Linked DNA regions of Yarrowia lipolytica. The protein of the gene in region 3 interacts with the protein of the main gene of each other region in a pairwise test. Links are inferred from orthologs where the notes say so. Each region holds a gene or a part of one and is shown on either strand. Other genes may lie near its edges. The genes, in order: YALI1_E40327g, YALI1_B05711g and YALI1_D31274g.

The links.
Region 1: the proteins of YALI1_D31274g (region 3) and YALI1_E40327g interact in a two-hybrid assay, tested with the Schizosaccharomyces pombe proteins (2 studies listed by BioGRID). The link is inferred for Yarrowia lipolytica from reciprocal best matches to the Schizosaccharomyces pombe genes mor2 and nak1.
Region 2: the proteins of YALI1_D31274g (region 3) and YALI1_B05711g interact in a two-hybrid assay, tested with the Schizosaccharomyces pombe proteins (2 studies listed by BioGRID). The link is inferred for Yarrowia lipolytica from reciprocal best matches to the Schizosaccharomyces pombe genes mor2 and orb6.

The regions. Positions count from the first base shown.
Region 1 is NC_090774.1:4,028,341-4,038,740, reverse strand, and holds YALI1_E40327g (uncharacterized protein), read right to left. Parts: upstream 6,053-10,400; coding exon 3,371-6,052; downstream 1-3,370. Other genes in the region: YALI1_E40361g (uncharacterized protein), read left to right, coding at 2,097-2,224, 2,571-2,829; YALI1_E40324g (uncharacterized protein), read left to right, coding at 6,350-7,180; YALI1_E40305g (uncharacterized protein), read right to left, coding at 7,535-8,200; YALI1_E40282g (uncharacterized protein), read right to left, coding at 8,974-10,400.
Region 2 is NC_090771.1:567,037-576,474, forward strand, and holds YALI1_B05711g (uncharacterized protein), read left to right. Parts: upstream 1-4,113; coding exon 4,114-5,880; downstream 5,881-9,438. Other genes in the region: YALI1_B05690g (uncharacterized protein), read left to right, coding at 2,037-2,111, 2,257-2,616; YALI1_B05698g (uncharacterized protein), read right to left, coding at 2,620-2,845, 2,892-2,929; YALI1_B05730g (uncharacterized protein), read right to left, coding at 5,886-6,063, 6,595-6,641; YALI1_B05762g (uncharacterized protein), read right to left, coding at 6,673-9,258. UniProt on the Schizosaccharomyces pombe protein: Interacts with pak1/shk1 and coordinates cell morphogenesis with the cell cycle. It is essential for maintenance of cell polarity and is involved in mitotic control.
Region 3 is NC_090773.1:3,123,754-3,134,215, forward strand, and holds the start of YALI1_D31274g (uncharacterized protein), read left to right. Parts: upstream 1-3,627; coding exon 3,628-3,630; intron 3,631-4,458; coding exon 4,459-4,623; intron 4,624-5,265; coding exon 5,266-10,462. Other genes in the region: YALI1_D31258g (uncharacterized protein), read right to left, coding at 1,204-1,989. UniProt on the Schizosaccharomyces pombe protein: Required for the maintenance of cell polarity. Has a role in localizing F-actin at the cell tips.

The DNA.
Region 1 (10,400 bases), on a different chromosome or scaffold from region 3:
TCTGGGACAGCAAGATTAAAGACGCTGACTCTGCCTCTTACATATACTGACGCTCAAACTGTTCAAATCAAGAACGGCGACATTGATGGGCACCATTCTCTGGGTCCCAAGACGGAAGCCTCCCACAAGGAAGAGTGCGCTGCCTGGCGTTGCTACTGGAACAAGATCAAGGGTTCCAACAACATGGACATCTACGGCAAGGTTTTCGCCCTCAGGCCCCATGAGTTCTTCCAGAATCACATTTAATGATGTGAAAGTAGCTACCTGTCGCTAGTAATAATATATAGCTCATCTTACAAGTAGAGTTCTTAGACCCATCGCAGATAAGAACCTTACTACAGTATGTACATAGTGGATAGAGCCCAGAAGTACCGTAAAGGATACGTGTGTTCCTGTTGAGAGATTGCTACAAATCTTCACAACACACAATTCCTACAAGTACAACTAACTACTCTACAACCATACACACTACAAGTCTCAAATATAGGGGATGGGACTCGATGGTCCAATCGTATTAACCCCGGAGGTTCGGCTGAGTACCAGCGTACGTCCTCCTAATACTATCTAATGCGAGTTGAGTAGTTCCTATCCTACAACTATCTCTTCTGTGTTTCCGACAGGGCAACGGGCTCTTTGCTTTCCGGATTCGCGACTCCTCTGTATAAAAGCGGCACGGGCAGCGTCTCGATTCTCAATGATCTAACGGGCTCTGGCTCTTGGCTATATCAATTTTGGCGGCTCTGGTCTTCTGTATCGGACTCGGGCTCTTTTTCTCCCTCTGTACTTGTACGGTTCTGTAACTAATTGGGGCTCCCACGGGCACTCTCGGACTCGGCTTCTCAGGCTCATACACACACATGGCTCTCTCTCGCACGGACACTCGGGCTCTCGCAATGGGTCTTTGACTCAAAATATCTCTCTATAGCGGCTCTCGTTGCTGGTGGCTCTTATAATCACTTGATATGGCGTCTTTCTAGATCTTGGCTTCCTCTGACTGGCGGTCTCTCGACGACTTGGCTCCCTATGGCGGCACATTCATTTCCAAACGGCTCTCTGCTCGGTCATTGTTAAGCGGCACTCCCCTCTGTAAAAAGTTCCGGCTCCAGGGTTTAGCATAGCTGAACTTCCTCCCCCTTGGTAGTCGGTCGAGATCACAGGCTCGAAGACGCGTCGAGACACGGGCTCAAGGCATTCTCTCTCTGTCGGTCGGTGGCACTTCTGCTCTGGCTCACAGGGCTCAGGCATCATATCGCTCTTCGCTATGGTAAGGTCATTTTTTAGACACATTCCCTTAGGGGCTGCAACACAGCTCTTAACCGGTAAACTCCCAGAGCGCAGCTTCTTAGCGACTCCAGTTGGGCATGTTCCCAAAGCACTCTGCTGACCACACTCGGTCAGGTAGTATTACGTCAGGTACGGCGGCCAAGCTCGTTCCTGGAAAGGCCTTGACAGGAGCCTGGTGCTTTTCAGCGGGCTCAGCACTGTCACAGAAGGACCCGACAACCGGTACAGTTGCCAGTCTGGCGGCGGAGGGATCGACTTCTGAAGAAGAAAAAGAAGAAGAAGAAGACAGCAAGAGCGCGATTGGGCTTCCTTATATACTTTTGGGACGTGGCTAGTCAGTAGACCTGAAGCGACAAGTGGGGGGGACACACCCGCCCTGCCATGCACCTAATCAACATTAGAGTTGAGAATGACACGCCTACCTCTTTGTTTTCTGGTGTGGTATCATTATCAGTGGACACTCATGCAGGCAAGGGATAAGGACGCTGGCTGCAGTCGATCCAGAAGGCAAAGGTGGCAGATGAGGACGTTTGACACATACGAATTGAGCAAAATGACCATGGTGCTGTATTCTCTTCGAAATTACGAGCCGAATGAGTGGAGTCAACATTTTTTCAGGTCACGTGCTTAGAACTTGTCCCAACACAGCGAACAGGGTTAGGGGAGACTTCCGCAAAACCTGCACACTGCATCCTCCCAAGCCCTCGGGCCATTAGCCAATAGAATAAGGACAAAATCCTGACCAGTGGAAATACACTTTGAGTGTAGAAAAGATCGCAGAGTGCACCAACTACTTACACAACACAGCAACCATGGCTTCAATCACCTCCGTCGTGAAGACTAGCGAGCTTATCCTCAAGTCTCCTCTCCTCAGCAAGATTGTTGTTCCTCTTGCCAAGACCTATGTCAAGTTCTCCGGATACCGACAGCTTGGTTTCAAGTGAGTATCAAGGAAAACAACGCCCTCCAGCGACACACCCCAACGACAGTTGCGCAGCATCGACAGTACGAGTGAATGGGAAAGATTATGGACGATTTCGGCTTTTGCGACACCAGTTTCAAGGCGTTTCTGCGTTTCTACGACACGCGAAATGTGCCCTTAAACGCGACGACGTAAGAGATATTTCAGGGTCAAAACACCATTGATACGGAAGTGACACAGCGACACTGGAAGACCACAAAAACCGACTCAGAAAGGAATCCCCCGACGCTCAACTGTAGATATTGCTGGAATTGTTGATTGATGGGTGTGCATCAACTTGTGCGTGAGCAAATACTAACCCCAGGATGAACGATCTGATCATTGAGGAAACCCCCAACATGCAGCTCGCTCTCCGACGACTCCCTCCCACCGAGTCTTACGACCGAGTCTACCGACTCATCCGAGCCACTCAGTTCTCTCTGTCTCACAAGCTTGCCACTGGTAACGACATCACCAAGCCTGAGGAGGACGACCACTACCTCATTCCTTACATCCTCGACGTTGAGGCTGAGGCTTTTGAGAAGGATGCTCTTGACAACCTCGAGGTTGTTAAGCGAAAGTAGGCATAAAAGCTCTAACAATACATGATTATTAGGTACGAGAGGGTAGGTATGGATGTCAGTACTTGTAGTCCGTGTATTGTATCTGGCACATGTAGTGTTGAAGATTGTAAGGGGTTTAGAACACAGAACGATTGGTGCGTATTGAGAGTTCTGTTGGCATTGACGCATTAATCTCTCTAAAATTAATGCCCCCGTTTGTGCTGACCAAATTGCTGTCTTTAGGGTCACTGTTGCGTGGTTGATTACTTATTACAAATGGGACGATTTTCACGCACTGTCCGAATCACCGATCATAATATTGGTCAATTTGTGTGAACAAAACTTAAATTTGTTTTAACCAAATTTCCAAACTAAGGATCACACAATTTAATGGAGAAATGACTTAGGAATAGGTAACTCGTTTTAGTCAGAGGATAGGAAATACGCCAGTTCCACACAATCATATCCTACTCCAACTACTTGTACTAGCTTGTAAATCGTTCACTTATCATCTAATGAATGTTAGCAGGCTATATAATTAATACCGTGGGGGAGTAAATGCTTAGAGTGATGAGAAGCCGTCCTCCATCACCTTGAGAGCGTCTCCAAAAGAGGTAAGCAGCTTCTCCAGCTCCCGAGTGACATCGGCGTGAGGAGCAGGGTCCAGCAGCACCGACAGATCAATTTTGGGAATGGGAGGGAACTGCAGAGTGGATTGAACGGGCGGCTGGGTTTGGGCAGCCCGAGAAGGACGACGCGACGAAGGCTGAGACGGAACATTAAGACTGGGCGTGTAGTCTTCCTTGCGGGCAGGGGTCATGAATGCATCGGGCATGGGCGGGGCTTGTGCCGGAGGCATTTTGATCTGCAGGTTGACGTTTCGCAGTTTGGCGGGCTTCTCGGTGTTGAACGCAGGGGACTTTCCATTAACGTCTGAGCGAGGCATAACCACGTCAGGAACAGAAGCTGACCGGGTAGCCAGCTGGGGGTTCTCGGAACGAGGTATCAACGGAGGAGAAGCATGGCCGCCGTCTTCAGAAGACACAGACGACTTGTGGCTCATCACAGGCGAAGCTGCAGAGGGAGAAGCTGCTGCTGATGAGATGGACGACACCGACGAGATAGAGGGTCTGTGGAACTGCGGAGGAGGGCTGGAAGGCCGTTTCACGGGTGGAGGACTGCCCCGAATGGGAGAGGGCGTTCTCTTGGGGTAAACCTGATGAGGGGCAGCCAGAGATGCCCCAGAAGAAGGGTTGGCCGAATTGATAGCTGACTTCGCAGCTGCTACCGCGGCCAGCGACGCGGAGGAGTGATGCATTGGTGTCGGGGGCGGCGGAGCCTGTGCCATTAAAGGTGGGGGAGCCAATGGCTGTTGTGGAGGCTGCTGCTGTGGGAGAGGCGGCATCTGAGAGGGAGGAGGTTGTGTGTGAGGCACAGGAGGCATTGTCTGATGCAATTGGGGCATCAGCGGTGGCTGTGGATGCTGTATTTGATGAGGGGGCTGTTTTATCTGAGGAGGAAGTTGTTGCTGTAGCTGAGGCGGCTGCTGCACTTGAGGCAAACCTCCTAGACCGGGGTGAGTTGCCTGGCCTGAATGGGTGGTTTGATTGAGATTCTGACCTTGGCCTTGGGTCTGTGCGAAACTGTGTGAATGCTGAAGAGGAGGAGGTTGGGGATGATCTTTCTCGGGAGAAGCTCCCATCTTGGAACCCCGTCCAAGAGTCTTACGACGAGACATGGCCATGGGAGGTACCCCTGGAGGCTCGCCTTCCTCTCTTAGATCGTTGAGAGTTGGAGCCATAGACGCCATTTGAGTCTTTTGAGTGGGAACGGTAGGTAGAGACATTGAGGAAGACAGCTCGGGACGAGCAGGCATAGGAGCATGGGCAGGAGGGGCAGGAGGGGCAGGAGGGGCAGGAGGTTCGTTTTCGTCCACAAACAGCTCCAGAAGTGGATGTGGCTCCTCTTCTTCCTGAGGCACAGTCATCGTGTTAGTAGCTGTCGTAAGATCGTGTAGTTGGCCTTGTTGTAGTCCCTGCTGCTGCTCATATCTCTGTTCCAAGACCTCAGAGGCAGAGACAGTGCTCTGCAACAGGACTTGGGTACCCATCTCGCCAATATCTCTGTAGGCATGTGTGGGTTCTGGCCTGAAGTCCATCTGGCCATTATGAACCTCCACACGAGCATCATCAGGCGCAGTGGATGTGTCGAAGTCCCACCGAAAGTCGTCCGAATGGTCCACAATATCCTCTTCAGACCCAATGGAATGCCGGTTATATACAGCCATCGAATCACGTGACTTGTTGTGTTCCCTCCAGTGCATATATCTTGAAATGAGGTCTTTGATGGTCGATGTTGGGATACCCTTTGAGCCTCTGACAAACTTGGTTTTTGACAGCTCCTCTGCTGAGGGTCGTTCGTCAGGCAGTTCGTCCAGACATAGTGCGACAATTTCCTTGAGGGCCGCTGAGTACTGGGATCCTTCCAATCTTGCGGGTTTGTTTCTGGGGATCAGAAAAATGGCCCTCATTGCCTCCTGGTCGGACAGGGGAGGGGAGCCTGTTGCAATTTCATAGAGCGTGATACCAAGCGACCAAATATCTGCCTTGACGTTGTATGATGCTCCTTCTGTGATAACTTCCGGAGCCATCCAATAGGGTGTTCCCACAATAGTGGACCGTTTAGTCTTGGAGGAGACTAATTGCGCGGCCACTCCGAAATCACACAGCTGAACACGTCCCTGTTGGGTGATGAGAATGTTGGCGGCCTTGATGTCTCTGTGGATGATTCCAGCCTTGTGCATGTACTGGATAGCGATGAGCAGTTCACGTGTGATGACGCTGAGGTGTCGTTCTTCGATACGGCCTGCCTTCATGAGAGTGCGCACACTGCCTCCAGCACAGTACTCCATGATGATCCACAAACGCGAGCCGTGGAGATACGAGCCATGGTAGCGGGTGATGTTTTCTGCGTCGGCGAGCTTGAGCTGGCTCAGCAATTGAATCTCATGCTGGACCTCCTTGACGTCGTCCTCTGCCGTGTCTAGGTTGAGTACCTTGATAGCCACCAGCTGCTTGGTCTTTTTGTGGTAGCCCTTGTAGACCACGCCAAAGTTGCCGCGACCGATGACCTCCTGGCGCTGGTAGATGGACGTGACGGGCGTGGATGTCTGCATATCCCAGTGTTGAGGAGGAGACGTGGACAGCTCGATGTTCTGTAGTAGTCTGTAAAGCGAGTTTATCATCACGTGAGTTGGGTGTTGGGGCGTATCGTAGAGACACGTTTCTTACTCTTCCAGTCCGATATATAATGTCTATCTTTATACACTTATTTTAACATCTCAAATGTGCCCCATTTTTGTCGCTTTTGACCCTCGTTTTTCCCTCACTCATTATTTTCCACGCCCCATTTCTCTCCCCAGCCCCATGTCTCCCTCCTTAGTGGGCCAAACCTTGACATGCATGAACATCACCGAAGGTCAAACGAACAGCCTTTGGGAAAAAAACCGAGGTGGATACATCGAAAAATCTGACAACAAAAAATGTCCTTTGGACGCCTGTTCCGACAGTCACGCATACCGGCGATGCACACGTCGGAGAACGTGTCACCACATGCGCCAACCACACAACTGGTCGGATCAATGCGGGGCAAAGGGAAGAAGCTGGAGTATGGACTCAAGCACAGCCGGAACCCCAAACAGCCGAAAATGGTGTCTGTGGCCGGCCAGGATTGGTTAGGACTCGGCACCGACTATCGACCCCAGGACATGGGCTTTGCACGCGCCCAGGAGCAGTTTTCCACCGCCGGAATCGCCCTGGAAGGACCTCCCTTAATACAAACTGCATCACAGTCCAACCTCAGTTACGCCTTCATCAAGTGGTGCAACGACCGAGGCGTCAAGCGCAGCGCTCTGGACGGCGAGTATCTCATCCAGCTTGCCAAAGAGTACGCTGCAACACAAAAATTCGGTCCGTGGGACTCAATATCCACGAAACCCGTGGCTGGACCGTCCTACTTCCCCAAGGGATCGCTACACACATCTCGTAACGGAGTCATGGCAAATCCCATGTTACCAGCACGTATTGTGGATGATCAGCGCACAAAAGCTGCTTGCATCGGCGTTGTGGCTACCTGTGAAGTGAACGACTCGTCTATCAAACACCACAGAGACAAGATTGTGATGATGGAGGTCCAGGGGGCCAAGCTGGACAATGACAAGTTGATTATGAAGCTGCAATCGACGACGAAAAAGGCGAGTGCCAACGTGTGGAAGGACTATACGGGATCTCAAAAGCTGCAAAGAATGCACGCGGATAGTAACAAACATTCGCAGCACAGAAAGTACGAAAAGCTGTTTGATTTGCTGCAGTGAACCAAACAGCACAGACGAATGAGGGAATGTATATATGTATATAGAAATTGCATGGTTGTTATATCGACGGTAATAATATTGAAAATCGTACTCGTAGTGTTCACGTTCAGTTCACGGTGAGCTTAAAACTATCTTCAAGAAGAGATTTGAGACCTGATTTATACTTGCAGCAATGTTTACTTCTTATCGCGATACACGAATGTGATACGGATCAAAGTAAGCAGGACTACGATAAGATAACGAATGCGGTGCAGTCCATGTCGATTAGGTATAGATACATTTATTTTGTGTTATGTTACATTTTGGGGGGATACTGTCCTACTTGTAGTACCTACTTGTAGTACTGTAGAGGGCTTATCTAAGAACACCCTTTGTGGAAGGAACCTCGTCTCCGAATGTGATGGAGGATGCCATACGCAGAGCCAGCGCAGTGGCCTTGAATGCAGACTCGATTCTGTGATGGTCGTTGGCACCTCGGATGACGTCGACGTGGATGGTGATGGCAGCGGAGTGAGCAAAAGACTCAAAGATGTGGGGGACCATCTCACAAGACAGCTGGCCCACTCGCTCTCGCTTGAGACCAAGCTCAGTCACACAGTATGCTCGGTTGGACAGATCCACAACGCATCGCGATAGTGCCTCGTCAAGAGGGGCATATGCGTATCCGTATCGTTTGATGCCTCGCAGGTGGCCCAGAGCCTCCTTGAAGCAGCCTCCAAGTGCGATAGCGGTGTCCTCCACGGTGTGATGGTCGTCAACATGGACGTCTCCGATGCACTCGACTAGCAGAGACCAGCCGGAGTGCTTGGCCAGAGCGTGCAGCATGTGGTCGAAGAAGGCGACGCCGGTCCACACGGAAATGTGCTGGGTATCGGTCTTCTGGTAGGCGTGAGAAACATCAGCTCCCTCGGGGAGCATGGTGGGGCCTGGCAGCTCGAGAGCTCCTCCATCTATGCTTATGGCGATCTGGATTTTGGTCTCCTTGGTCTCTCGTCGGATGCTGGCGATTCGTCGGGTCATTTTGTGTGTGTTTGTGCGACTGGTCGTGTAGTGAGTATCACAGGTAGAAAGTAATTTTCAGTGGGGCTGACAATCGATGACTCTTATCAACATTTAGCTTTGCTAGCAAACGGTCGGGTCTAGAATGTGCTGGATGGAAGAGTGAAAGGGAGGTGTGGCCGGCATCATTACACGGAGCCAGCTGCTTTTTTGTCATATAAATACCCCTATAACTCCCACATTATGTGCCTCCCTCTTCCTCTCTGACTCACAGAGCTTCTTGCTCTTTCTCTATCTACTCCAAGGTTAGTGAGTCAGGATTGTGTCTGGCTTAGGATATATAATTCCAGCCCAAAAGATAGCCTTTCGGCACTCTGGTTTCCGGCGGCTCTCCAAAATGGCGGTGGAAAAAAATATTGTGAGGAAAACATAACAGGTATTCTCACGCATTCTGATTGGCTGAATAAAGGAAAACAACAAAACGCACCAGCCAATGGAAACACATAAAGAGATAAATTTTCCACACTAAAGCAGGACCCTACTCGTAGACCAACGCCCCCACTTACAGGACGCATCTTTAGACCCGAACCCCCAACGTTCATTCCTCCGTTGCTGGACGAATTGGGTCTGCAGGTAAATAATGTCTAATGGCAGTTGAATTCCGATTACTAACTTACTGCAGCGTGGTACAAGTGCAGATAATCACGCCGAAGGTTCTTGTGTTTAGTATTTCCCGGTATAATGTCTATAAATCAATAATGGCCTTGCTCTACAAAGGCCGAGTCAGGCTGCTCTCAAAGACGGGCCTTGTTGTCAATCCAGTGCTTGACAACGGTCTTACCTTCATAGAAGGACGGGTCTGGATGACGCACAATGGCACCAGCATGGGCCTGTTTGGTGGCACGGATGTGGATGGCGGTCTTATCCCACTTGAGCTTACTGAGGTTCTCAATGATGGTCTTTTGGCTGTCCGATAGCACCAACTTGGTCTTGGTCAGATCCAACGTGTCCCCCTCCGTGGTCTTGTACTCCATGGCAGTGAACATGGAGTCCATCGTCTTGTCCACCTGATCCTCCAAGGCCGTACGGAACGCACCTTCCTCCAGGGAATGTGATCTGTGGTGTCCGTGCGACTGAGAAGAAGAAGAAGAAGAAGACTCGGATGACTTGTCGCCAGGAGAGTGCACCTTGCCGTTGAAGAGAGCTCCAACAAAGTCATCAGAAGTATTGTTCTTCCAGTACTCGCCCTTGGCGTATTGCACTCGACGCCGGTTGGAAATGATGCCGTAGAAGATGGCAGACGCAATCCAGGTGACGGCGTACATGGGCATGGTGACGGCAATGTTGTAGAGGACCTTTGCCCATCGGAACCGGCGTTCCAGCCATCCGGGAGGCTGTTTGATTGCCTCTGGCGGAGGAGCTAGGAGGTTGGAGGTGTCCGACTGTTGCAGCTTGATGTTGTTGAGACGCGAGGTATCGACAATGATCTCATTGGTGCCTTCCACTGTAGGCAGAGTAACAGACTCCATGTTGACACCCTTAAAGGGGTCGAAATCGTAGATTCCTGCAGTGTACCACGCCGTTCGCGAGTCATTGACCACGTTGGCGTACAGGTTTCTGTGCTGGAAGGCTGCGAGTCCCTTGGAGAAGGACGATTCGGCGTAGGACATGATTTCCAGCAAGGGCATGGGCTTGGAGAATTGTTCTCGGTTGGAGTCGGTCATTGCGGTTTCTCGTACTCGCACTCGGTCCTCCAGGAACAATTGCTTACCTGTCTTGCCCATGAGCGATCCTGCGAGGGAGTTGAAGGCGCTGGCCAGTCTGCTTTCTCCAAGCACTCGAACACCAACATGAGGTGTGCAAAAGGTGGTGAAAGAAGCAGGAGGAATTCGATTGAACACTCCACGCGTGTACAGCAGACCAACGGCGTATCGCGACATCAGACCCCCCAGGGAGTAGCCTGCCATTGAGAGACGATCCACCTTTCTGTCGGAGTTGTTTTCAATCAGCGAAATGAGAGTCTCGGCTTCCTCGGCCAGACGGGCGCCACAGACGTCGATTCCGTCGTAGGTGGAGTAGCCCTCGTTGCCTCGCGTTCGATAGATGACCACGACGTCTCCCTGGCGGGACTTGAGTTCAGCCAGCGAGTCCTCGATGCAGGTGGAGTCGTCCTGGTAGAACTCCATGGTCTTGGAGTTGGTCTCCAGCAGCTGCTCCACAA
Region 2 (9,438 bases), on a different chromosome or scaffold from region 3:
TCAACAAATGTACTCCAGACTGAGAATTAGATGATTTGTCTTAGTCCGGAGTTGGCGGCGACTGTCGAATCTATCCTCAGGTGCTGAAGAGTGGTTCTAGGAGCTGGGTTCGTTCAAGCAGTTCTAGGGCTCCTCTCATTCCGCAGTTGGGCACCAGCATGACCACAAGTGGGGGGAGAACCAAAATCTGATCAGGAAGAACCAGTTGCTTACGCTCAGATATAGTCTGTCAGCTCCACTCGTTGATGCTCTACTGTACGCGGACGAGAGTGAGGCGGTCCTTGTGGGAAGAGAAGTAGGACACGTAGGACGCGGCAGGCTTCCACCACTGTGGATCCAGTTCTTGACCATTGGTCGGTGGCTCGGGCGTCCAGTCCCCTCAGCAGTTCCTGGCCAGCTCCTCCGGAGCAACAAATTCTCCAACGGCCTCGTCTGTTGTTCTACCGGCTCGAATGAGGTGTGTCGTTCTTGTCGCTGGTTTGAAATTAAGGCGAGTTCATCTGTTAATGGAAGGCTACAGTTATTACGGGAAGGTTAGTTCTTTTCTTTTCTTTCTTTTTTCTTTCTTTTTTTTTCTTTTTTCTTTCTTTTTTTTTATTCTTTTTTCTTTCTTTTTTTTTTTCTTTTTTTTTCTTTCATTTCTTTCTCCGTCCCTCCATCGACTCAGTGGTGCCCGTCTTGTGGTTCCATGGGGCTCTAAAATTAACAGTTAATATTCTCAGTGATTCCAGCACGTTTTTCGACACTTCCAACACGATTGTCGCAGCTGTCGTTGTCCAAAACCCCCATTCCCATTCTCTGGAATTATCGCCATTTTCTGGCAATTACAACGCAGAAAATCCCCGAGCCAACCCCAAACAAAGTTGGATTTAACACAATTAATTCCCAGCGTTTTAAGGGGTGCAACTTTGCCGACAGACACTAGCCGCGGTTGTTGAGCGCACTTTGAGAACAGTACAATGGCCAAATCGACTACTTGTAGATATACAAAATGAAGCTGTCGCTTTGGACAACTCCAGTCCATGGAAATATCGTCGCTTTTCACTTAAAACAACGCCAGGTATCCGTATCTTCAGCTGTTGGGCGTGTGAACGACCTGAACCCTACGAAACGGGTCTCCAACTCGGGCTCCAGTCACACTGGTTGGAAAAATAGCCACGCCATTGAATTCGCAGCGAACATATTCTAATATAAACGTGGTGGCGTTTTGGCCGTGTATGTTTTCCTTCGTCTGTGGTGGTATCTTTTTTGTCCGCAGCCATGCGGTTTTTTCATTTTGGGGGTTTTTTGGGGGAAGTTTTGGGGGAAGTTTTTGGTTTATGTTATTTTATGTTATTTTATTTCATTTTATTTTATTTTATTTTATTTCATTTCATTTTGTTTTATTTGCTCTTTTCTGATAGGCAAAATCGTCCATATCCAGCCCTAGGAACGTCGCATCGGATCCCTAAAAGGCGAAATTGACCCAAATTGCAATAACAGCCATCAGTCTCTATTAAAAAAAATCACCCCACAGCTCTTTCCTGTCTCCTTCTGAATTCCCCCATCTTATTGACTCTAGATATGCAAGTGCTTATATACTGAGTGTAGCACCCAAAAAGACCACAATAGCTGAAGATGGAGAGGTCGAAGGACCGAAGAAGGTTGATAGTTGACTTTTGAATCTCCGAATCGGTTCCTGATTCGACAGTTTGGGGCTCCAGCATTCTTCTTCCTCGTCAATGCATTCCACTTCAAGCAGCTTCCCCAATCCATCATATACACCCATATCAAGTGCTACAAGAGTCGACCAACTAACACCAAAACATGCCATAACCAACCAAAACACACAATCACCACCCAATTTACCCTCCCGAGACACCGTCACGTGACCTCATCGACCCGCCTCATTCACACGCCTGTCCCACCCCTCCGCTGACTAAGCACCCCTGTAATTACCTCATGCAGACGCCGCTGTACCACTCTGCAAGTCACGAAAGCCATACATTTCTTTCGACCAGCGGTGACACGACATTTCGCGACACAAAGCCGTCATAATGGTGTTACAGTACATTTTGGTACAGAACCGACAGGGCAAAACGCGACTTGCCAAGTGGTACAATGCGTATTCGGTGAGTACATGATGGGGCTCCCAGGTTTCTTCATCTTGACCAACTCGGCGAGGAGTGCTGCGATCAAGATGGAAGCACCACCATTCGAACGGCAAGATCCAGACGAACACAGCCATATATCGTTTGTCCGCATGGACTAACCCAGGACACGGAAAAAATCAAATTGATGGGAGAGGTGCATCGGCTGGTGGCCGCCCGAGATCAGCGATACCAGAGCAATTTTGTGGAGCTGGGCAACTACAAGGTCATCTACCGCCGGTACGCGGGACTTTTCTTTTGCATTGTGGTCGACGAATCCGACAATGAGCTCTTCTACCTGGAGGCCATCCATCTGTTTGTGGAGGTGCTGGACACGTTTTTCGGCAACGTTTGCGAGCTGGATCTTGTCTTCAACTTCTACAAGGTGTATGCGATCCTCGACGAGGTGTTTCTGGCCGGCGAGCTCGAAGAAACCAGCAAAAAGGTCGTTCTGGCTCGACTCGAGGAGATTGACAAGGCCAGTTAGTATTTATAGGGAAGGACATGGGCTATGGAGGCGTCGAACAAGAGCCAGGACAATATGATTTATGATATTGACATGTTGAGGGGGAGGGAGGGTTCTATTGTAGGAGCAGGGGAGAGCGCATGAGGTTACGAGCAGAACGACGCGAAGAGAGGATGTTTGAGCGAAACTATGGTACCATTGGAAAGCCCTGGTCTGTCCGATGACAATGGTATAAGAATAGTTGAGATATCTCTTACCAGGTCTTGTCTACTCCGTGATTATCAAGGAGAACGAACATGCAACGTAGGAGGACAGCGGTGACACTACCAACCATCTGGTCACATCAAATTATCTACATCTTCCGATTCAGAACGTCTGGTTGACTTATTGTGTGATTTTTCTCTTCGCTCGGGGCGGTTTTACGCGCTTTGAGTAGTCACCAGAGATGTAAATCACTCTAGCTTGGCGAATATTGCTCCTAGAGGATGGGAAATAAATCCATAGTAATACACACACTTTTCTGATCTTCCTAGATGTTTCAGATCTTCTCCACCATGTCTGTGTCTCATGTTCATCCCGAGCATGTCGTTCTGCTGTACGCGTAGATCAACACTATTAGGCTACGTAAAAAAGTCACGTAAAAAGAAAAACAGAAAAAAAAAGAAAAATACTAAAAAAAGAAAAAGGAAAAAGAAAAACAGTAAAAAAAGATTCAAAATAGGAAAATAATATTTAAAAAACACCCGGGGCAGGTTGCAAAATCAACCGATGCAAATATTGACAATGAAAGTCGTTGAGATCACAGATAGGGATAGTTATCGACCAATGGGGGCGTTGATTTTTCCGGTTTAATATTTTTGTATTTTGTACTATTTTTGAACTGATAGTTGTAGCCGTATTTTTGGCCTCAAGTTGCTTTTTTTCTTTAAAACAGAGCGAAAATAATATTAATTACCCACAAATAGGCTCACGTATGGTGGGGGGAATAATCAGTGTAAAATCGGATAAAAGTGGAGAAAAAGGTTGGGGAAAATTGAAGAAAAAATATACAACCAGGAAGAGACACCCATGTGTACAAAAATCACTATTTTTGTCGCGTTCCCGACCCAAATCCACCTCCAATCAGACCGCCCTTTTGCGATTAACTATTTCACATTATTTTTGGTGTGCCTCATCTGTCTGTCACGAACTGACTTTTAATGTTGCAATAATACGTGTTGTTGTGGTCCGAATTCGGGGGCAAAAAGAAAAAGAAAAAGAGACAGTCCTGCGTGTGGCGTGTGACACAAAACCCGTCACCGTCTATATATTCGCACCCTTCAGCTCCCCTCTCCACCCGTCTGGTGTTCCTCTACATTCACACACGTTAACCTTTTCTCCTGCATAATTCCACGTCACCTAACCCAGCCCCTTTTACACACACACAGACACACAGAGAGACACTCGGATAGTTGGACCCAGACAGACACCACACTAGCTACAACTACACCCACACCGCTCTCCACACAAGCAAGCAAGATGACAGACAAGTGGGTTCCTGGCCAGGGCCAGCCCATGTACGGGTCGCAGCAGCCTCACAACCTCATGCCGCCTCCGTCGGGGCTGTATCAGCAGAACTCCAACCAGTCCAACACGTCTCTGGATCAGCAGCAGCAGTTCAACCAGCAACAGTACAACAGCCAGCAGCAGTACCAGCAGCAACAGCACAGCCAGTACCAACAGCAGCAGCAACAGCATCAACAGCAACAGCAACAGCAACAGCAACAGCAACAGCAACAGCAACAGCAACAACAACAGCAACAGCAACAGCATCAACAGCATCAACAGCAGCAACAACAACCACAGCAACAGTCTGTGGCTCAACAGCAGCCTAGTGACTACGTCAACTTCACACCCCGGCCGGATCTGCTGTCCAAGACGGCCCGAGACCGAGCCCACAACACCACCCAGGTCATCAGCACCTACTACAAGGGCATTGTGCAGCATGCTATCGAGCGCCACCAGCGAAGATCCGCCGCCGAGGCCTCCGTCGAGCAGGCCACGTCGGAAGAACGACGCAACCGGGTGCTCACAAACTACGGCAAGAAAGAAACGGCGTATCTGCGTATGCGACGAACAAGAATGGCGCTGGAAGACTTTGTCACCGTCAAGGTGATTGGAAAGGGAGCGTTCGGAGAAGTGCGGCTGGTTCAGAAGCGAGACAATGGCAAAATCTACGCCATGAAGACCATGCTAAAGAAGGAAATGGACATGAAGGAGCAATGGGCGCACGTCAAGGCCGAGCGAGACGTGCTGGCGGACTCAGACTCCCCCTGGATCGTCTCGCTGTACTTTTCGTTTCAGGACGACCTGTACCTCTACCTGATCATGGAGTTCCTTCCCGGTGGCGATCTCATGACCATGCTCATCAAGTACGACGTTTTCAGCGAAGACATTACCCGTTTCTACATTGCCGAGTGCGTGCTGGCCATCGAAGCGATCCACAAGCTAGGCTTCATCCACAGAGACATTAAGCCCGACAACATTCTGATCGACAAGACGGGCCACATCAAGCTGTCCGATTTCGGTCTCTCCACAGGCTTCCACAAGACCCACTCGTCGGCCTATTGGAAGAAGCTCAAGGACGGCACTTCCTCCAACCCAGCCACACAGATGGGTCCCCCTCAAAACACGAACCGACAGTCGACTTACGATTCCATCCACCTGACGATGCGACAGCAGATTTCCACGTGGAGAAAGAACCGACGTCTCATGGCTTACTCCACCGTGGGAACGCCAGACTACATTGCACCGGAGATCTTTGTGCATCAGGGCTACGGCCAGGAGTGCGATTGGTGGTCTCTGGGAGCCATCATGTTTGAGTGCCTGGTTGGATGGCCTCCGTTCTGCTCCGAGCAGCCCCGAGAGACTTACCACAAAATCATCAACTGGCGAGAGACGTTGCAATTCCCCGATGATGTGCATCTTTCTCCTGAATCTGAGGATCTCATCAGGCGGCTGTTGACTTCGTCCGAGAACCGTCTGGGTCGAATCGGCGGCGCCAACGAGATCAAATCGCATCCCTTTTTCCGAGGCGTCGACTGGTCGTCTATCCGGGAGTTCAACGCGCCTTTCGTGCCCAAGTTGAGCAGTATCACTGACACCAGTTACTTCCCCACCGATGAGCTTGGTGATGTGTCCGAGTACCCTCAGCAGAGCTCTCGAAGCGATCGATCCAGTGATCTGCCCTTCATTGGATACACTTTCTCTCGGTTTGACAACATGACCAGGCGGAATGCTATCTAAGTCGGCTAGAGAACTGCGGACAGAATGGATGCGTATAGGACGATGCGAGCAACGTTCTGTTGTACAGGCTCGTTGGGGTTCCTGAGAAGGACAGGTGCCGAGCGCGCCACAGTATGAGGCATATGACACGCCGAGATCTTGCCACCAAGATCTGTGTGCCAGACAATCATGTATTTGTATGTACTTTACCTGATATAATACATAGAAGAGGACAGACGTCCATTAACTGAACAAAGGGGGTACAGTGTAAGAACATGACACTTAGCAGGGTATAATGTGGGGGTTCTGGACAAGATACTGCCGAAAGATTTGCACCATTGTATAGTTGGAGTTGGTGCTATCATTGTGGTACAAAACTGCTGAAGTTTCGACTGTGTGAGTTATGTTCATGTCTCACTTGTACGGTATTCTAAGTATATATTCTTGGGAGGTGATAATCTGAAGCACCTCTGTTGAAAGTGCAAATTTGAAGGTAGCGGAGATCATCACATGTGTGAAGACTTCTGAGTTGGTTGACAATCATACAATGTCCATGAACGACCATCGTGTGGCTCACATGCACTATATCCGTCCCAGTCCTGTGAGCTATGGTCATCTAATGTGGTTGGAGTTTAGTTGGAAAGTAGTTGACTAGGAAGAGTGTCTACAAAATACGCCCATCTATACCATTATTCTCTGTGTATTAACGCCAAATCCCTATAAATAATTCAAAACAAACTAATAAAACCCATAACAAATCCGGGTCTCTCTTTTCTACCCATTACTCGAGACGATCCGCGTCCTCGACCGTCCTTACTCGGGAATATAAACCCGGTTCATGTTGGCAATCTCACGACAGAGAATGTGCCAGTCAACCTCTCGCAACCAGCCCTCACCTTGATCCCGATGACGCTCCTCCCACTTGACAAGCTCGTACATGAGCCGCAGGTTGGGCTGGATGATGACGTTGAGCCGCCGCACACGCACAAACAGGTACGCTCGCGGAAGCCCCACGCCAAGCCGCTTCATGACCTCCGCAATGCAAACCGTAGCCGACCGAGAAACTCCCACTCGGCAATGCACCAGCGTCATTTCACCCAGCCGGTATCCCTCGTCCAAAAAGTCCAGGCACTGCGCTAGCGAGTCGGTGATCTCGTCAATGCCATCGTCCTGGATGTTGGACACGTACAGCACGCGAGAGAGATGCTTTCGGGCCTCTCGACGCTCCTGAGTCTGTCGCACCAGCTTAACAAGATCTGGATCATGGGCCACCTTGCGAGCCTCCTCCTCCAGGTCAATCTCCTCGTCTTCATCAGCATCCTCGGCCATAGCCCAAGGCACAGGCTCTCCAACAGACAGGATCCGCTTGATTCCAAGCTTCTGAATCAAACCGTGGTTGGAAGCATGATCCAAGGAGCCGAGGTACAAATGCGGCAGGATTCGAGAGGGCACGGAGCCGTCAAAGTGGTTGAACCACGAGTCTTCATGTCGCACAGAGCCGTTATCCTCATCGTCCGATAGGAACATAAGGTTGGGGGGCATGCCAGTGTACTCTGCTCCAGAAGAGAGCTTCTCGTTTAGAGCAGGCGAGTACTTGTGCAAAGCAGTCTGAAGAGCAGACGCCACAGTCACATCAATGGGGAAGCAGAAGAACGGCCGCTTGTACTGTACATGCAAATCAACCCACGCTTGAGGGGCACGGCATCCGGTGGAGTACATGAGAAAAATGAGCGCCAGAAGCGACGTCTCAGTATATCCATCATTGCAAAAGACTAGAGATGCGGCAGGCTTGCCTCCATATGTGCATTTAGATCGCAAATAGATGAGTTTGCACACGTTAATGATGGAATAGACGTTTTCGGGGGTCAGGGCTTGGATGGGAATTGATCCCGAAGAGGGGAAGCCTAGCTGGAGAGGCGAGAGTCGTCGGGAGGGGTCGACAATGCATGCCTCAGCCTCCCGAATGTACTGGTCTAACACAGCCAGGGGAACTAGTCGGGCATTTTCCTGGCAGTCAATAATGGTCACCCAGTTGGCGGGGGCCTTGACTGCGGCCGCATCAATGTCGCCGTGATGCTTATTGACCTGCTTGGCCTGCTTGGCTGCAGACAGAGATGCTGTGTACGCATCAAAGTCGGTTGTGTTTCCCAGCCACACGTCGCAGGCGATAGGAGTGGCGGTAGACATCATAGAGATCTCGACCCGCTCATGGAATAGAAGGTTGGCATCCCAGTTCTTGAGCCGTTGCTCGTCAATCTCGTCGGGGGAGAGATTGTGCGACATGGTGACAGTGTGGGGGGCCTCCTGCTCCAGCTGGGTGATGGAGTCCGTGAACACAAAGGTGCGGTAGACCTGGTGGAGCTTTTCATTCTCAGCGGCAAACCGTCGCTGAGCGCCAGACACGATTTCGGCGAGCCTGAGTAGCCGCGGGGTGAGACCCTCGGCCGAGTCGTACAGCACAATGTCGGAGATGACAGCCCACTTGGCGACCTGGATCTGGAACTTTCGCAGCGAGATGCCCTCGGGCGCGTCCAGAAACTTGAACTTGTCCTGGAAGTCTTCCTTTTCCGCGTCGCCCTCCAAAAAGTCCTCCAGGAAGATGGTGCCGATGATGGAGCCCGAGTGGCGGGCCTCTCTGAGGGTTTCGCCCTTCATGGCGTGGCCAAACCCGTTGTACTGCACGGGGGTGTTTGCGGCGACCTGCCGTCTGTTGGCCTTGACGATGATGAGTCCGCGCACTTCGGACGGGATGTCCTTGTGGGAGGGCAGCGGGGTGGAGGCTCCCGGCGCCTGCGACACTGGGAACGACGAGTTGTTGGGGATGAACTCGGTGGTGAACTCCTTGTTGACGCGACGGTTGGGGTGCAGGAAGGTGCGCTGGTTCACGTTGCTGGGGTGCAGGCCGTGGAGCCAGGGGAACATTTTATCCACCCGGGGGAGTCGTGTGGAGTAATGGAAGTCAATGGCATCCACGAGTGTTTTTGTGTCTATGCCAATGACTGGGGGGGAGTGGGTCAGAATGGACCAGTTGGCCGAGTCCAGCAGCGCCGACTTTCGCAGTGGGGGCGACGGCAGGGCCGAGGTGGAGGTTGAAAGCACCGCGTCCGCGACCGCCGGGGTCGGTGGCGCCGTTTGGGTATCGTGTGGCGGGGCGTCTTGCGACTGGGCTTCTCTTTCCGTCAGCAGGTCTTCGGTCACGTCCATGTGGTCCATGTCGCCCTGACAGGTGACCTCCTTGAACGGCGGGGTCGGGGGCGAGTTGGGGCACACGGACGCCGGCGAGCCTGCTCGCGACTTGCCCGAGTCGTCGTTGCACGCTGCTGCCAGCGTGGACATGTTCTGTGGTGGCGACGGGGGTAGAGACGGGCCCGATGTGGGGAGGGGAATTGACAGTGACATGGAGGAGTTGAAGCCGTGTGTGTGTCTATGTCGGTTGTGGGACGTGTGTGGCGTGTGTGTCGTGTGTGTAGTGTGTGTCGTGTGTGTCGTGTGTGTCGGATGTGTCGCTGGATTATCTGTCTCTACCGTCTGTGTCGTTTGTCTGGATATCACCTAGCGTGTCTGTCAGAGTCGCGATAG
Region 3 (10,462 bases):
ACAGATCTAAACTTTCGTGATAGACCCTCTCGTCATTTTTCAACTATTCACAACTCTTGATATAAAGGTTCAATTGTGACAATGTGACGAATTCAACGCCAAAACGACCATTTAATCATCAGAAAACAGGTCTTTTCATACATAATACCGCCAATAATGTCTTGAATCGCCTCGATTCGTCACTTTCTGTTCAACTTTGTCAGCACTCTACACTAGCATCTACAAGTACTTGTATCTCGCTCAATAATGATCATATTCAACCTATCTCTTCTCAAACAGATGAGACCAAATTCCCCCTTTCAATATTTGTTTCACAACCTCCAATTCGTCTTCTTTTCCGAACATGCAATTGTACTCGTACAATAGACCAAACTGTACAGGAAGAATCAGAGTCGTATACCGGAGGAATTGAGATGTTTTTGAAAAACCACCAAAAAAAAAAAAAAAAACACAACAAACAAACAAACAAACATACAAACAAACAGAAGAAGCAACCTTCAGTCTCGCGACATAAACTGGAATCCCAAATATTTCCCCATCTACCCTCGATTCCAAGCTCTTTTTAGGTGGAGATGTCGTGGTGCATTCGCTTGATCTCCTTCACAAAGTGGTTCAATAGATAGAAGAGAAACATCAAAAGATTCTCCTCCAATATCTAAAATGAGCACGGTTTGCTCGCCAGTCTCCTTATTGACACCCAACAATGGCGGCGGAAGTAGGCTCATTCTCTGAACATTCAAAAAAAACAAAAAAAACAAACGTCCTTGGTGGTCTAGAGGAGATCTCTGTTGAGGTCCCGGTAAATATGTACTTTTGAAATTCAAGATAATTGTTTGTATCTTAGTAAATGTCCAATATTCCCTTCGTTCGTCCCGGAAAAGTGCTATCAAATTGTTCCTGAATGGGTAGGGCAGTTTGTTCTGGTAGTTGTAGTATTGAAGATATTAGTGATACTCTGCATCACTCAAAAATGCTTCAATCAATTTGGTTGAAATTCCAGCAGATAATATATATCATTAATATCCCCTCGGGTCTTTTTATTCGATCGTTCTGATCTTCAACTATTTTTTTTTATTGATTTTTTTCTTTCTTTATAATTCCATCAATCAGAGCGTGTATATTTAGCGTGAGCAGACCTCACGAGGACGTCATGTGTACCAGCCATCGTAATAGTGCCCCTAGAGTAGAAAACAACTTCGGCGCTCATTCCTCTCCGCGCTTCCGCCTCATAGCCACGATCACCATGTCGCGACGATATGCTGCAGAAGCTCGGGTGAACAAGTGAGCGAAGTCTCGCTGGACCACGGGGTCAGTACCCACTCGGCCAGTTTTTCGCATAGCTCGCTCGAACTGCCACAAAGCATGGGCGAGCTCTCTAATGTAATTCAGCGGGCCGTCCTTGGCTTCCAGTAAGATCCAGTCCGCCATCTTTGATGGAAGGGGGACACCAATCTTCTGGCAGATGGCCTTGGACGCTGGACAATTGACAAAAAGGTGCTCGTGGAGGTAGTTCTTCTGTTTGAAGAGTTGACTAGAACTACATCCAATGTCTCTGTACTGGACAGATCTTGATTTGGGGTACCACCGGGTGAAGGGGAGGCGGCTCAGCCGCAACATGTGTAGCGTAGCAGCGCTCTTATCATCTCGTCGGTAGTGCTTGCTCAGGAACTGATTTGTCTTAAGCCAGAGTAGGTGGTTCGGATCAAGCTCAGATGGCAGTGTCTCCAACCAGTGCTTGTTCTTCATGACCTTGAAACGATCTCGCCAGCTATCCTTTGCCACCTTGACAGGGACATCGATTTGCGACTCGAGATATGCAACTTGCTCCCGAGACATGGTTGCGATCGGGTTTTCACGACGCTGGCGTTCGAACAGGTCAACTTTCGTCCTCTCACTTGACCACTGCGCCCTAGGGCGCAAGTCGGCTGGAGACTCCGCCAGTACAGCTATAAGAGACAGCCTTGCAAGTCCTCGCAGACATCGGTCCATGGAGTCAGATAGGAAATGGCGCTAGTGCCAGTTTCCCGTCTCGAACCACCTAATCTTGCTCATTCTCGTAGCAGAGTGGGATTGGAGCCCGTAGCCCAAGTCTACTGTCTCACTAGCAAAGAGAAACATAGCGTTTTGTCTTGCAGCAGTATCATCCCTGAAGAAGCGAGCCGCTCGCGTGGCACGGAGACTCTTTGCTTGCTCAACAATGTTCAAAAGGCCAATGCCTCCTGCTCTGAGAGGCTGATAGATGAGCTCGTCGTTGAAGGTGCGCTTGCCGTCCTTGTTCTCGCCAACCAGTAATCCGTTGATCTTGTCGCTGATTACTAATCACACCTCTTGAACTAGCTCATCAACTTACCCAGTCTACACATGGCATCCTGGCCGAGCGGTTAAGGCGAGAGATTAGAAATCTCTTGGGGTTTCCCCGCGTAGGTTCGAATCCTGCGGATGTCGCCATCTTTTTGTTTCCTTTTGCCTGTATATTTCTCCGTTTCATGTAATGTGGTTGAGAAAAGAGAAAAAATGAAAAAATGAAAAATGTTTTTTTTTTTTTATTTTTTTAATTTTTTAATTTTTTTAAAAAAGAAAAAGCAAAAGCAAAACATCAATATGACCAAAAAATGTCAAAAAATGTCAAACATAGATAGCAACGCAACGAAAAGAGATAGCACCAACCAACTACTCACCCTCTATACGTATCACGTGACATCGACCCTCTCCCAGGAATCTGATGTCAATTGTTTGAGCAGACAAATCCACCTGGGCTACGGTTGTATATTATATCCTCCTAGATACTGGTCACGTGACTCCAACAAGCCTGTAGAGTAGGTACGAGTGTACTGTTCAACTACGGTACAGTACTTGTACTGTAGTGAATATTGAGGGGTCGATTTAGGGATAATAAGTTTAAATAAACTATGAAGAAATGTCGAGTAAAACGTCAACTAAAAGTAGTTAGTCATCCGGATGAAAGAGGTGTTAAATTGGAATTTTGTATGACAATATATTCAGACGACGATTTAGTAGTTATAAACTTACTCATTACTTACTGATCCATACACTTTTCATTTCGGCGACATCTCAGCAACGTTCAAAATGAACCCCCAGCAGGATTTAGTTTTCAACTATTTTCAACTAAAGCTTTTAACTAAAAAGAAGTTGTTATAGAAAAACACTTAGAAAGCCATATTGTATTTTGTTAGTATGAAATAAATAAATAGAATGGATGTTTTATCCGCTCTATATTCTTTTCTTCTCTCTGTGGCATTTTTTTGAGGCTCCACGTTCCATTTTGCGCATTATATACGATACTTGTACAACGATATTAAGGAGGGGTTCATGATGTTTGGGAGAAGGAGAATCGGCGATTTGGACAGGAAAAACAACAAAATCCGAGAAAAATAAAAAAAACCGAGAAAAAAAATACAAAATAACAACAGACATCCTTGTGATCACGTGACCGAGACCAGCCCGATGCCGCTCTTCTTTTAGCGCTCCAGTTCGGGCCCGGCTACAACGCCTGGTGGATTTTTTTCGCGCCAAAATAAAGTTCTCCCACCACATTCACCTCCTCGCATAACTGGCGACTCCTGCAGACTTGGCCAGCTAATTACACCACGACGAAGCGATATTGGGATGGTGAGTAGAGCAGGAGAGGGGGGAGAGAGATTATGAGGTCATGTGGAGGTCACATGGGCACGTCTGGGTCACGTGGGTGCCTACTGGTCACGTGGTCTACTCTGGGGAGAGGCTGGGGGCGGCAAGAGCACCAGTCTGGCTGATTCAGCGGTGGGGGTAGGGAGGGTATGGGGTGGAATGAGATATTCAGATGTTTGTTTGGGGGATGCGGGCAGGGGTTGAGTCACGTGACCAGCGGTTGGGTCACGTGGCCAACCGTCAAATCACACGACTGATTGTGATCTCCTTCTCCTCACCATCCCGTTAGCATTGCTGGTCACACCAGTTGGGGTGAGACTAGATTGAGGCCACTGTGGCCAATTTGGGTTGCGAGATTCTTTCAGAGGGCGTTTTGCGACATTGTTAGTGTCAGAGGTTATTTGGAGGTTGTATCCAGCGTGTTTCTGACGTCTTGCGGCCCCACCAAGTTCCACCGATGCAGTCCCAGTCCTGGTGTCACTCAGATCGAGCAATTGACATATCTTCATCGAGACAGTGATAGATAGATTACGGCACTTGAAGAACGCGGGATGACGTGGTCTCATTCACATCAACTCTGTCGTAGTCATAGTCGGGGCATTTCAGTGGCAGCCCATTCTAGTCTCATCTGCGTCATGTCACCTGTGCAACCATCACTGACGTGAGATTGTTTGCTATTGCTACTTGTCAGACTACTTTCCGCGCTACTTGTCAGACTATTTGTCTGGCGGGTCACGGTCTCTTTAAAAAATCTCCGCACTACCGCTCCACCGACCACCGCACCACCACTTCCACACACTGCTAACCCAGAACGAAATCACAATCCCAGACCTTTCGTCGCCGGCCCAAATAGCCATTCCCACGTCACTGGACACTCCACCGGTACGTGTGGACCGACCTGTGGAGGAAAAGAAGGAGAAGAAAGACGACTCGAAAACGCCGAGTGAATATGCCTTGCATATTTTGTTTACACAGGTGAGTATGGAAACGCCCAAGTACGGTTAAAGGTCCGAGTGGACCCAATGAGCTGGCAATGAATGACCTGTGCTATGAATGAGCTGATACTCAGAAGCAACCACACGAGCGACAAAGAACAGTAAAATGGGGACAGTCAGGAGTCGAATCGATACTACTGTTCCACTGAGATGTCTCTGCTGACACGTGACCCTTCAGTAATGGCCATGCTTTTCTCGAGATGGCGCAGTCCGACACACTGTAGAGGTCTACGACTGTCGTGTCCTTTTGGCGCTCTTTGGCGCCTTTGGACTCTGGTAGAGGCGTGAGTGAATCTCGCAGATATCACGATGCACCTCCAAAGTCTGCTGGTAGGGCCATCTCAGGTTATGTGACTCGTCGCTAAGCTACGTCAAGACCAAAGTCATGTTCTACAGATTCGTCTGGTCACAAGGAGCCCGAGATACAGTCGTTCACATGACTAAGTAATGGTTAAAATCATGGTCAACACTCTGGTCAGGCTCTGAGAATGCAAGAACACGTTCACGTGCTGTTCGCTGTTCTCCAGATCCACTCATGACTTGTTTTGTGCCTCGTCAGGCTCTGATCAATTGTGTACGTGGCTACGTCACGGTCTGACTCCTCTCTACTTCGCTAACCCAGTTTGTCCGTTACGCAGAACGCAAACTCAACCTCTGCATCTCCACCCCCGACTCCGACCCCAACATCACCGACATTCTCGGCGAGGGCGCGGACCCCGCATTCGATAAGATCATCGTCTCTCTCGGCTACATTGCACGCCGGGAGCCGAAACCGGTGATCGACAGCGTCATGTTCTGGCGCAAGTCCAAGTCCGAGGTTGCCGTCAACTCGGCCGCCGCCGCTCATACTGCCGCGGCCTCCGCATCTGCCGTGACCGGCCATTCTCGACAAAACTCGCGTGCCAGCGACATGGGCAGCGGCGGATTTGGCAGTGCCCAGCTCCAGGAGCACGCCAGCAGCGCCAGAGAGGCAGCTCTGGTCGCAGACAAAAAGTCGCTCATCAGTATCTACATTCTCTGCCGAGTTTTAATTGAGGTGGTCAAACAGACAGACACGGACTCGTTGGGTGAGGATCTGCGTGATAAGCTGGAGGAAATTGTCTTCAAACAGCTGCGAACGACGGACCCGGCGGTGCTGGCTACCAGCCACGTGCGCCACGCCAACTGGAACCTGTTTGCGCAGCTTTTGGGCCAGATGAGCAACACCAACTTTGTTTCGGTTACGGACCGTTTCCTCGGCGATCTGGGTCGGGCCGGCGAGCCAACCTCCAAGGAGAAAGAGACCCAGCTGGAGCTCGTGATTCAAGGAATGTGCCATTTGCAACTGAAAATATACCCCATGGACCAGCTGGACGAGTCTGCGGACTTTCTGCAGTCTCTGGGACAGTTTTTCCTGCGCTCTCATCTGCCCAGAATTAAATACGCATACATGGACGTTTTCAACAAGCTCTTGTTGCCGGTGGTGTCTGTGGGTACTGTGGAACTTAACCATCCGGTGTGGGTGCAGGCCATTTCCGAAATCTACCCCAGAGTCATTGCCAGCATTCCAAAAACGTCCAAGCAAGGCTCTGGAGGCCCGGCCATTGTGGCGGCAACGACTCTTTTGACTGTGTCTCCTCAGGAATACTTTGCGCAGAATTGGTCAGCACTACTCGATGTCATCATATCACGGTTCAAGGAGAAGCAGTCGCGAGGCCATATGGCCGTTTGTCTAGCAAGATTATTGTGGGTCTATGTTTTCCGATGCTCCGAGTCGTTGAACCATACAACCAAACGTCTGGAGGGAATCACACGACAAATGTTCCCTGCGGGGTCCAAAAAGGGATGGGCGTCGCTAGACCCGTCGATACTACACCCCACAATCCAGGTTTTGCGGTTCATGGGCTTCTCCAACCCCTCCTACACCATTGACCAGATTTTGTACCAGCTCATGCATACCCAGTTGCTGGAGGGATCGGCCAGTGTGGGGCTAGAGAGCCTGTCTCCCGAGCGACTTATTATTGGCATGAAGGCGTACATGTACATGTTGCATGACTATGAGCAGGACCAGAAGCCGACGTTTTTGACCGACGATGCTCTCAACGAGGTTGTACGGTCGCATTCCTATGTCGAGGGCCCCTTCCACCGCCAGAAGACCAAGCTGCTGGAGGAATTTCATGACACCTTTTCTCAAATTCTCGGTAAGCTGTTTTATCTGTGCGACACGTATTTCTCCACTAACAAGGACGAAGAAGTCAAGAGAAGCTACCAATTGCCCAGTGCTAAGACGCCGATTGCAGTTTCGTTCCATTTTGGCGCCAACGACAGCACCACTCTCAATCGCGGGGCGTTTCTGGACCTGCTCTGTTACACCATTGAGTGCATTCCGTGGTGTCCCCCGTCCAACCTAAAGTTTTCAAAGCTGCTGGAAATGCTTTGCCGAAACACTTTGTCGGTGGCGCCGGTGAGCCAGGCGGCCAGCAACGCCCTTAAAAAATTTGTCGTTGCCGGAAAGGAAGGCAAATCAGTCATTGAGGTGTTTGCCAAGTTTATGTTTTCTTTCGAACAGCAAAATTTCTGCAGCACCGAATTCCCGGCTACCGCCACGGACCGGTTCGAGTCTCTGCTCAAGCTGTACGTGACTCTGTTGGAGCTGTGGCTCGACACCATCAAGTCCAAGAACGACGACTCGGTGGACTTCAACTCGGTCTGGGCCGTGGTGGAAGAGGTAGAGAGCAACGGGCTGTTTTTCCTGTGTTCTCAGAACCGCAATGTGCGCCATTTGGCCCTCAAGATTCTGCGGCTGACCGTGTCGTTTGACGAGGTGTTGTCGGGTGTGTCTGGATCACGTGTCATTTCGCTGCTAGACTCCACCTCCGGCAACGACCTTCTCAGCCAAGCCAACCCGGCGATTGAGCTCAACACCCCTGAAAAGACCCGGCTCAGCAAGCTGACCAGCAAAAACAAGGCATCGCTGGCCCAACTGTCCGACTCGGACTACGGAGTCGACACGTCCATCTGGCTCAAGGTCTTCCCCTGCTTCATGCAGCAATGCTTTGTGGCCTATCCCATGCCCGTGGCGCTGTTCAGAAACATTGTCTGCCTGCGCCTAGTGCAGATGCACGACGCCGTGGTCTCGTTTGCCGAGCAGCAGACGGCGGGACCCCATTCCTTCAGTCTGCGACACCCAATGCGAAACCAGGCGGAAATGCTCATTGAGCAGTGGCAGATCTACCTCATCGTGGCCTGCTGCACGTTGACGTTGACCGACGACAAGACCAATGACCAGGCGGGAGTGCCTACTTCTGCTTCTCACAACCGCAAGAGATCAGTGCCCCGGATTCCAGCGTCACAACAAAAGATTACGTCTGCCAAGTCCGTTTTCCGAATGGTAATCCCCCTCATGACCGTGGACCACCCGTTGATTCGTGACTCGATCATCGCCGGGCTCTCCTGTATCAACGTGAACATCTACGCGTCGCTTTTGGAGTGCCTGCAAGCCTGTGTGGGAAACTGGAAGGAAGAGCGACGACGTTTGCGTCAGATGAGCCACCATCGGCGAACCAGTTCCGAGGTGAGTAATCCGGACACGCTGATTATCGAGGTGACTCGAATTCTGAGGCTGACGGCGCATTTCATCCAAAACGATGAGATTCTCAAGGACGAGTGGATTCTTGAATTTCTGTCGTCGTACATCAAGGACATGAAGGCGTTTTTGTCGCTACCCGAGGTCCAGGTGGAATGGGACTATCAGCGTCTGAGGCGGTATTTCTGCGGGTTTCTGGAAACCGTCTATCTGGGCATCATCAAGACCCCGAACCCCGCCAGATGGCTGCCGTTTGAGGGCCGCATTTCGTGTTTCACCGTTATTGAAGAGTGGTGTGGACATGGCCAGCACTGGGCCTTGTCCAAGGACCGAGAAATGCAAATGAGGAGGGTGGTTTTGGGCCGGACCCGGGAGAGCAAAGACCAGTCTATGATTGTTGCTTCCATGGAGCTGGAGCGACGCAAACTCGAGCTGGCGGCGCTCTCGTGCATGGCTGTGCTTTGTTCGGGACCGGCGGTTCAAGCGGTGGAGAGCAACGGCGAGACCCGAGCGGTTCTGGCCTTCAACATCACCGGGCTGATGAAATGGATCGACGCCATTCTCTCGTCGCCCGGTGAACAGATGAAGAGAATCGGCACATTGGCACTGCGAAACCTGCTTGTGAATAACTCTGACCAGACCGCCATCACCGACGAGGCCGTGGCCCATTGTTTCCAGGACCACGAAGACCCCGTGCAGAACCACTGCTACTTTCACACCCTGGTGGACGTGATTCTCGGCGACGTGAATTACCCGGTCAAGATCCACCAGCTGCTGGTTTTGGCGCTCTTCAAGGTCGGAGACAGCGACCGAACCACCCGCTGTTTGGCCATCAAACTGCTCACCTTTTTGGAGCGCCAGTATTTTGCCACCTCGGTTGTGCGCGAGTTCCAAATCTCCGTGTGCGACACGACTCAGGCGGTCTACAAAAAGGCACTGTTCGACCTGTCCACTCGGTACGCCCAGGACCACGCCAACAAGGCGTACTACGTCTTTTCCGAGCTCACCCGGTACTTTCACAACGTGTCACCTTCTTCTCGAAGAGACATTTTGGCGGCGGTTCTGCCGTGGGTCCAGGCTCTGGAACTCAAGCTCGATTCCAGCAACATTCTGTGCCCATCGAGTTATATGGTGGTGGTCAATCTGCTGGAAATCACGGCGCGGTTCTCTCAGGTGATTCCCCACGAGGTCCAGGCTCTGTGGATCGCGCTGGGCAACTCCAGCCAACATGCCGGCAACGTGGATCTCATTCTCGACTTTGTCATGAAGGAGTCCATTCGCCGACGAGACCCCATGTTTGTCGAGTGCTGCAGACAGATTGTGGTGTATTTGAGCATGACCACGGCGTCGGGCCAGACGAAAATTTGGGACACTCTGTTTTCTCACCTTTCTCCCCGCTCTATGATCCCTCAGTACCCCCATGAAGACCCGCCTTACGAGATTGACGATGGTCTGTATGTGGCTGATCTGTTGCAGGTGTTTCCGAGACCGTCCAAGGAGTCTGGGTTCTCCCACGGGCAGTTGGCGCTCATTTTCCTGGTCGATCTGATCACATGCCGGTCGGAAAAGCTCCAGACCGCCATTCCGCTGCTGTTGCAGGTGTGTTTTGTCCTGCTTGACCATTACCACACCCTGGTGCACGTGCAGTCGCGTGAGATGCTGGTACACGTGATCCAGGCGTTTGTGGAGTCGTCCCCCGAAGAGGAGCAGCTTGTGGAGCTGTTGCAGAGCGACTCGACGCTGTGGGCCTACGACGACATGAACAGCGACAAAAATGGAGCCAAGACCCCCATCAAGATGAAGGAGCTGATCCGGCAGCTTGTGGAGCTGTTGTCAACTGTCTGTCCGGGTCTACAGTCCGAATGGGCCCGCCTCTCGCTCAGCTGGGCCACAACATGTCCCGTTCGTCACGTGGCTTGCCGGTCGTTCCAGCTGTTTCGAACTCTGGTCACCGATCTCGACCAGACCATGCTTGGCGATATGTTGGCGCGGCTGTCCAACACGGTGTCCGATGAGCTGCCCGACATCCAGGGCTTCTCCATGCAGATTCTCATGACGCTGCACTCTCTGACCGAGCGTCTGGATGTGACGCAGCTGGAAACGTCGCCCCAGCTTTTTTGGGCCACGGTGGCGTGTCTGAGCACCGTCCATGAGGCGGAGTTCAACGAGTGCTTGGCTGTGTTGCAAAAGTATCTGCTTGTGGTGGACATTTCTCGCCCCGAGGTCCAGCAGAGAATCATCGCCGCGTTCCCTC